Macaca fascicularis: one gene and its partner. The protein of the gene in region 2 purifies or fractionates together with the protein of the main gene of each other region. This does not show direct contact. Links are inferred from orthologs where the notes say so. Each region holds a gene or a part of one and is shown on either strand. Other genes may lie near its edges. The genes, in order: ARHGEF26 and CASK.

Region 1 (3,822 bases), on a different chromosome or scaffold from region 2:
ATTGTACAAATATTTCATATTTATGTGAAAACCAGCTAGAAATCAAGTAGTCTCAACTATACAGTACCTAGAATTCACGTTGCTCTGAATTCTCACAGATGTGTATTTTTAGCTGTCCATTAGACATCTCCAAGGCAAAATTAAATGGAGCTCTTCCTGCTTCTTCCCCCTCTTCCTGAATCTCTGTCTTCATTAATAGTTTAAGAACCCACTTTATTGCCCAGGTGGAAACCTTGACCAGAAATCTCAGCATCTTCCTTGACTTCCCATCTAACGAATTTCTTGAGTCTATTAATTTTATCTCCAGATTGTTACCCCACGCTGTGTCCTCTCTTGATTTTCCACTACTAGGCTGTATTGTCGACTTGCCCAGATTAGCCACCTAACCAGCCTGCTTGCCATCTGTCCCTCCCTGCTAGTAATCCATCCTTGCTCTGCTCCAGTTTTCTCGGATTGAGTGATTTATTGGCTTCCACTGGTTTCTTATAGTCTGCAGATTAATCCCAAACTTTCCAGCACGCAGTCTAACCTTTGCAATTGAGCTCAAGCCTGCTCTGCAGTCTTCTTTCTATGCCCTTGTTCCTCCTAGAGTCTATACCTCAGCTCCACTGAACTTCCCAGTTTCCCCAACCAGACCCACGTTGCTTCGTCTGCCCATTGTGCTTCTCCCCTGCTCCCGTCATGTCATCCTTGGCAGTGATGATCCAGCTTACAGGTGTCCTCACCTGTGCTTACCGCGAGGGTGGTTACTCTGCCCTCTGGAGTTTTCTTTGTAGGCCTCTTTATTTTTACTCACCATACTTCTGACACCAAATGTGTGATTTTTTTTCTTATATCAACCAATTCTCTAACCCTCGAGACTCCAATTGTGTGTCCTACATTTCCAGTCCTACAGTTTCAGTTCCGACATTAACCACCCTGAGTTTGCATCAGACTCCACAGGTTTAAGGTTTCAGCCCACAAAACTGCCCTCATTTAAGATGGCAGATGCAAACATTGGGTCCCCAGGTTACCCACACTTCTCTCCTACTTGGCTACGGAGTTGCAGGGGGATTTCCACAATCCACCACTCTTTCAGGCCCTGATGCTTTGCTAAAATGATTCACAGAACTCAGGAAGGTACTCTACAATTTCTGGTTTATTATATAGGGTACAACTCAAGAACAGCCAAATACAAAGATTGTTACAGGGCAAGGCTGGAGGGGGTGTAGGTACTGCAGACCACCTAGTCCCTCTCAGGGCCTGCTACCCTCCCAGCACCTCAAGGTGTTCATCGTCCCTCCCTAACCCCATCAGTTAAGGGTTATGATGGAGGCTCTATTACGTAGCCATAATTGATTAAATCATCGTTCCTTGACAATTGAACTCAAACTCTTATGACTGGAGGTAGGCAGGCATGGCTAAAAGTTCCAACCCTGCAATCCTTGCTTGGTCTTTCTGGCATGCAGAGAGCCATGCCGAAGCTATCTAAGGGCCCCCAGCTACCAGTCATCTCGCTGGCATACGAAAGTCACTGCTATCACTCTGGAGATTCCAGGTATTTTGGGAGCTGTGTTCCAAGAACCAGGGATGAAGACCAAATACTTATTATTTTATTATGCCACACCCGTGTTATAGATCCTCTATTGTAATTGGCTGCATGCCTCCCATCAACCACTCCACTGCGAGTGTTGGGAGGGAAAGGATCATTTCTTACTCAATTTTGTTTAGTGAACTAACCTCTCCTTGGTATATAATTCAGCTTCTTCTGTTTTGGTTCAGGTATTATGCTATCATTTCTCTACACACTCTCAAACACACACACACACACAGATACCCACACCCCCACACCCATACACATACTACTGCACAGTGTGGTTAAAATTCCACCGATAGATATATACCCCAGAGACTTGAAAACAGACACACAAATAGATATTCGTATGCAAATGTTCATAGCAGCATTATTCCAGGTAGCCAAAAACTAGAAACTACCCAAGTCCCCATCAGCAGATGAATGGATAAACAATGGCTATCTATATGACATATATAATTATATATACCATATATATGTATATTATAGATACATACATTTGTTTGTATGTATATATTTAGGTGACCCTAAATTGCTATCTATTTATACACTAAATCTGGTAACACTGGCCGGGTGTGGTGGCTCCCACCTGTAATCCCAACACTTTGGGAGGCCAAGGTGGGTAGATCAGTTGAGGTCAGGAGTTTGAGACCAGCCCGGTCAATATGGTGAAACCCCATCTCTACTAAAAAATACAAAAATTAGCCAGGCATGGTGGCACATGCCTGTAATCCCAACTACTCAGGAGGCTGAGGCAGGAGAATCACTTGATCCTGGAAAGCAAAGATTGCAGTGAGGTGAGAGATAATGCCAGTGCACTCCAGCCTCGGTGACAGAGTGAGGCCCTTTCTCAGAAGAAAGAAAGAAAGAAAAGAAAGAAAGGAAAGCAAGAAAGAGAGAGAGAGAGGGAGGGAGGGAGAGAGGAAGGAAGGAAGGAAGGAAGGAAGGAAGGAAGGAAGGAAGGAAGGAAGAAAGGAAGAAAGGAAAGAGAGATGAAGGGAGGAAGGGAGAAAGGAAGGGATTGGAGGGAGGAAGGGAGGGATTTAAATACCGTGTATATTATCAGGTTTAAAATAATATGATTATTTTTATTTTGACTAACATATAGTGTTAGATTTATTTCAGACTGTTGTTTTGTTTTTTGTTTTTTAATTTTTATTGAGACGGAGTCTGTCGCCAGGCTGGAGTGCAGTAGCGCGATCTTGGCTCACTGCAACCTCCACCTCCTGGGTTCAAGCGATTCTCTTGCTTCAGCCTCCCGAGTAGCTGGGACTACAGCCACGTGCCACCACACCTGGCTAATTTTTGTATTTTTAGTGGAGACGGCATTTCACCATGTTGGCCAGGATGGTCTCGATCGCTCCAACTCGTGATCTACCCGCCTCGGCCTCCGAAAGTGCTGGGATTACAGGTGTGGGCCACCATGCCTGGCCTCAGACTTATTTTTTAAGCATTTATTTAGGTGTTTTGTTCATGTACTTTTCAATAAATAAAATATATAAGCATTCATTCCCCTTCCCATAAAGAATTCTTGAAAAATAGTGAAATACGTTTAGCCTAAAGTACCTGAAGGCAGAGCAATGCCTCGGATTATCGGTGTTTGAAGCCAAACACTTGAAGCAATAAGAAGGTTTTTTTTTTGGTTTTGTCTTGTCTTGAACTCCTGGCCTCAAGTGATCTTCCTGCCTCAGCCTCCAAAAGTGCTGAGATTATAGGCATGAGCCACAATGCCCATCCTCAAGGAGGTGTTGATATGATAGATTTAAACTTAGATAAAATTTTTGTAGTTTTTAAAAATATTTTTTAGTTGGTGCTGTGTACTGTTGAATTTTCAAACCCCATGTAATAACATTACATGAGGATAACCTGTTATCTGTTAGAGTGTATGAAAGATGTGTAAACTTTTTTCCCTTTGGTTTTTCAGGTTCTTTATAGAGTTGGAAGCAAGACATCAGAATAATATCTTCATAGATGATATAAGTGACATCGTGGAAAAACACACAGCATCCACATTTGACCCATATGTGAAATACTGCACAAATGAAGTCTACCAACAACGAACACTACAAAAATTGTTGTAAGCAATGTTGAATGCTACAGTTTTAATAGTCTAACCTAGTTTTAATTAGTCTACATTGACTGAAATTAATTGATCTTTTGAATTGTATTTAGGAATGCCTTCTGATAGTCTATTTCCCTGAGGAGAAATGTTTAAGAGCATTACTTTTAGGGCGAGGGTGTTTAAGTAG
Region 2 (3,822 bases):
GGGCCTTCAAAGGTTCGATGAGCATCTAACAAATTATACAATTGAAAAGATTATCAGCTTGGAAGCCTGAACAAATCTATAATGAAATGAAGGACCCAAAGGCATTTTAATTATTGAACACATAAAAGGAAGTATATTTAAAAAAAATTGGTCAAACTGTCCTGTTATCATTTTAAAGGAATTTACAGGGCTGTTATAGATTATTCTTTTGGAATATTTCAGTTTATAGCAAATGCCTAAACTGGTTTCTTCATTGCACAGTATTTTCTCTTAAAATGGGTGCTTTAAAACAATTACATACAGATTAAAAATCCTCATTTCTTTGCTTAATTAAAACGTTAATACTCTTAGACAACACAGATCTGAAATGGTGAAACCAGCAATTCCCCCCCACCTTACAACAAATTAAATTGAGACAAAATTACAAACACATTTCACTACATGATTATTATTAATAAAAATCAGTTTCATTTTTTTTTATAAAGTTGCCCAAAATGCAAGGGATGTGCATAGGTTTACAACTTAGTCATAATAGCATTTTATTCTTATTCCCCTGGGTGTGCCCCATGAACGGAATGTAGAATGTACTTTGCTGTAGATTACAGATTGTTTTGTCCAACACAGACACACCGACAGCATAAACGCTCGCGACTGTCCACATGCATTAAGAGTCAAGACCCAACTTCAAATCTCTAAAAGGTTTACAGGGTGCTTCAAAGAGACAGTATCACATTATCTGGATGTTACATAAAGGACTTAAAAAAAAAATACTATTCTAAAAAAAAAAAAAAAAAGAGAAAAAAGGCCTTTAAAAATTTATGACTGTTTTGTAATCACTACACTAATTATTTCAAATAAATAAAGGAAAGAAAGATATTCCAATCCATAAAATCAGACTCTAAAAAGAATGTAGTGTTCCACCCCCAGTCAAGGTAACAGAATCATTGTTTATTATTATTAAAATAGATTATAGAAAGCAGCATCTATTTTGTGCAGTTTTTAGGGGCCTTGGAAATAAAAAGCTATGATTTCCAAAAATATAACATTCCAAAGGATTGAATAATACATACATTTAAAGATACATTTTATTAAAGTTTAGGAGAACTGATTAAAAAAGATACTGTCTCTTTAAATTAGTGTGTAATTGTTTTTCTCCTCCTATCTATTCGGACATGACAATAATTATAAATGTAGGTCACACTACAACTAGGTAGTCTCTAGGGACCATGACCTGATGACACAAGGCCGATAACAAAGAGGCTTTTCCACGTATGAGGTGCTCCCAGTTATGCTCAGCTATCTGGGGAAAGGCCTAATAGACCCAGGAGACAGGGACCCACTGTGGGGCTGTGCACACGAGCTCAACAGCTTCCTCCAGATGTCTGATTGTCTCATCAATTTCATTGTTGATAATTGTGAGATCGAAGTAGTGTGCATATGTTCTCTGTAAGATGTCAGACTCCTTCTGCAGACGCTGAAGAGATTCATCCTAAATGGTGATGAGATGGAGGTAGGGGTGGGCATGAGAGGAGGAAAAGCAAACAGAAGAGAGAAATCAGTTGGATTCATTTTCTTTTCACATTTTTGTTCATCCCAGTGTCAGAAACAGTCAAGGCCAGACCCTGACATGCCGTATTCCAGCATGAGGCCAAGTCCGCTCCATGACAGAGGAGACAGTGATTGCTCAACATGCAACAGAGGGTCCATGACAAAGCAGACGAACCAGAGAAAACAGACACTCTTCAGGAAACATGCCACCCCCACTCAGGCCTAGCTATGCCTGTCCCCAGAGTCAGGCTTGGCAGGGCCATGCCAGGTGTGGGTTAGAGTGGCTATGGTGGCCCAAACAGGCCCACAGGAAGCCCCCCGCCCTAGCCTCAAGCCACTCTCCCAATTGGGAGAGGGAGATTGTGGCAAGGCCCGAGCTCTTTGCCCCCCTCCCCTTGGTCCTCCACACTCACTGGAGCCAGGCCTCAGGGCCCAGCTGGGTTTGCACCAGCAAGTCCCTGCCCTTGGATGACAAATTAAGTTGTATTTTTTCCTCTTGTACTTAAAGGTGCCACCGTTCCAGGAATTCAATGACATATAATGGCCCTCACTCAATAGCAGCTGATGCCAGAGGCAAAAGCTCTTTGAGTGTTACAAATAATGGCCGGAATAAGGCTGTTTCCCCAACAAACAGCACCTGGCATCTGATGAATCCCCCCAAAGTGGTCTGCATTAGAAATGGCTGGACAAATGTCACTGTTCACAGGTCCTCGTATCTCTTATGAAAAAAACCAAAGGAAGAGAAGCTGCTGAACTCTAGAGAGGTTTGCTGCAACAAAGGATGTTCCCTAAGCTGCAGCTTGCCACAGATTTTAAGAACTCTCGCAAGAGGGATCCAACAGCAGGAGGGAGTTTAGGTCCCAGCTTTGTCACGCAAGTGTAGCTTCCGCTACAGAGTGGCAGTTCTTTCAAGATAGGGGTCTCTTAAGAGCCACCAGAAAGAAGTCTGCCTCTATATCTTCATGAGTCAAATTTGTCATGCTGAACTCCCAAAGGGCAAGTTCAACCTTGACACTAGGGAACTTTGTGAGTCAAATTAACCACCCCCTACCTGCCAAACACTAGGTGGGTGAGCTCTTGGGCTGAGTCTCAAATATACATAGAGATAATGAAATACCTCTTTATTTGATGAGTGGCTCTGTCTCCAGCTATAAACTTGTCTTGTGTGCCCTGTAATTGCTGTGCCCCAGCATTAGGCATAGTGCCTTACACATAGTAAGTGCTTAATAAATGCTGTCAAAAGAACAAGCACTTGTCTGACTAGTGCCAGTCATTATAGGGTTTTACAAGTATTAAATCTAAAATCAAGAGACTGAGCAATTCTTCCCAGAAATGGGGGCCCCCCAGGTGACAGAAAAAGATCTCCAGAGAAAATAAAAGATGCACTATCTTCAAGGACCTAGGAGCCGTAGTGCCCAGTACTGGCTTAGGGCCCCTCCCCTCCTCTTCTCTAAGGCCCCTCTGTTATTGGCAAGAGACCCTTCCTGGTGAGGCTGCTGGGAGGTCCAGGCAAGCCTCAGCTCTCTGGGTACAGCTCTCAAGAAAGGGGACTAGAAGTAAGATAAAGAGACTTGCTTGATTCTGTCCTGGCCCTGCAGTGGGCATGCACAGACACCACAGCAGATGGGAACTCAATCTTTTCTCTCAGGGCGCTCTGAACCAAGAATGTCCTACCTGTTTTGTCCTCTTTCACAGGCATTTCAAAGCAGGACAGGGCATGCTTTGACTGAGAGTGTTAAGTACTACAGTGTAGCTAAGACCCCAGTTAATCATCACCTTCTAGTTCTGCTTGCACTTAAAAAGCATAGTATTTTCACTGTGGCTTTACTTAATAACCAACACAATGCAAAAAACAAACAAACAAACAAAAAAACAAAAAACCCGCCATTTTAGCAAACGTGCATTCACCCAAAGATAGGAGTGCTTCCTACCAGGATGAAAAGGAACAATTCCTACAACATCACTGTCTGGCACACGGGATTCTATTTGAATATGTAGTCCTGAGCTTCAGAAACCACTAGCAGAGTTTATGACTTGCTCAGCAAGCTGGGCTGATGAAAATATTCCAGAAAATGTATGGCTGAAAGTATCACATTTTTAATGTAGGTCTCTTTACAGAAAAATAAAGCTCCCTCTTAAGAATCTTTTAAGATGAAGCTATATTTGTCAGTCTCTTCCTCGACAACAGCTTGTCTGTGTGCTTGACTCACACGTGAGCAGGGTTTAACTCAGTGAAAACAAAATGCCTTTATTCTAACAGCAAAAGCAAGGATT

What was found.
Region 1: the proteins of CASK (region 2) and ARHGEF26 purify together in Homo sapiens (affinity purification with mass spectrometry; 3 studies listed by BioGRID and IntAct, with this or other methods). This does not show direct contact. The link is inferred for Macaca fascicularis from reciprocal best matches to the Homo sapiens genes CASK and ARHGEF26.

What each region holds. Positions count from the first base shown.
Region 1 is NC_088376.1:57,144,820-57,148,641, forward strand, and holds part of ARHGEF26 (rho guanine nucleotide exchange factor 26), read left to right. Parts: intron 1-3,497; coding exon 3,498-3,650; intron 3,651-3,822. UniProt on the Homo sapiens protein: Activates RhoG GTPase by promoting the exchange of GDP by GTP. Required for the formation of membrane ruffles during macropinocytosis. Required for the formation of cup-like structures during trans-endothelial migration of leukocytes.
Region 2 is NC_088395.1:41,534,919-41,538,740, forward strand, and holds part of CASK (peripheral plasma membrane protein CASK), read right to left. Parts: intron 1,490-3,822; coding exon 1,313-1,489; 3' UTR 1-1,312. UniProt on the Homo sapiens protein: Multidomain scaffolding Mg(2+)-independent protein kinase that catalyzes the phosphotransfer from ATP to proteins such as NRXN1, and plays a role in synaptic transmembrane protein anchoring and ion channel trafficking.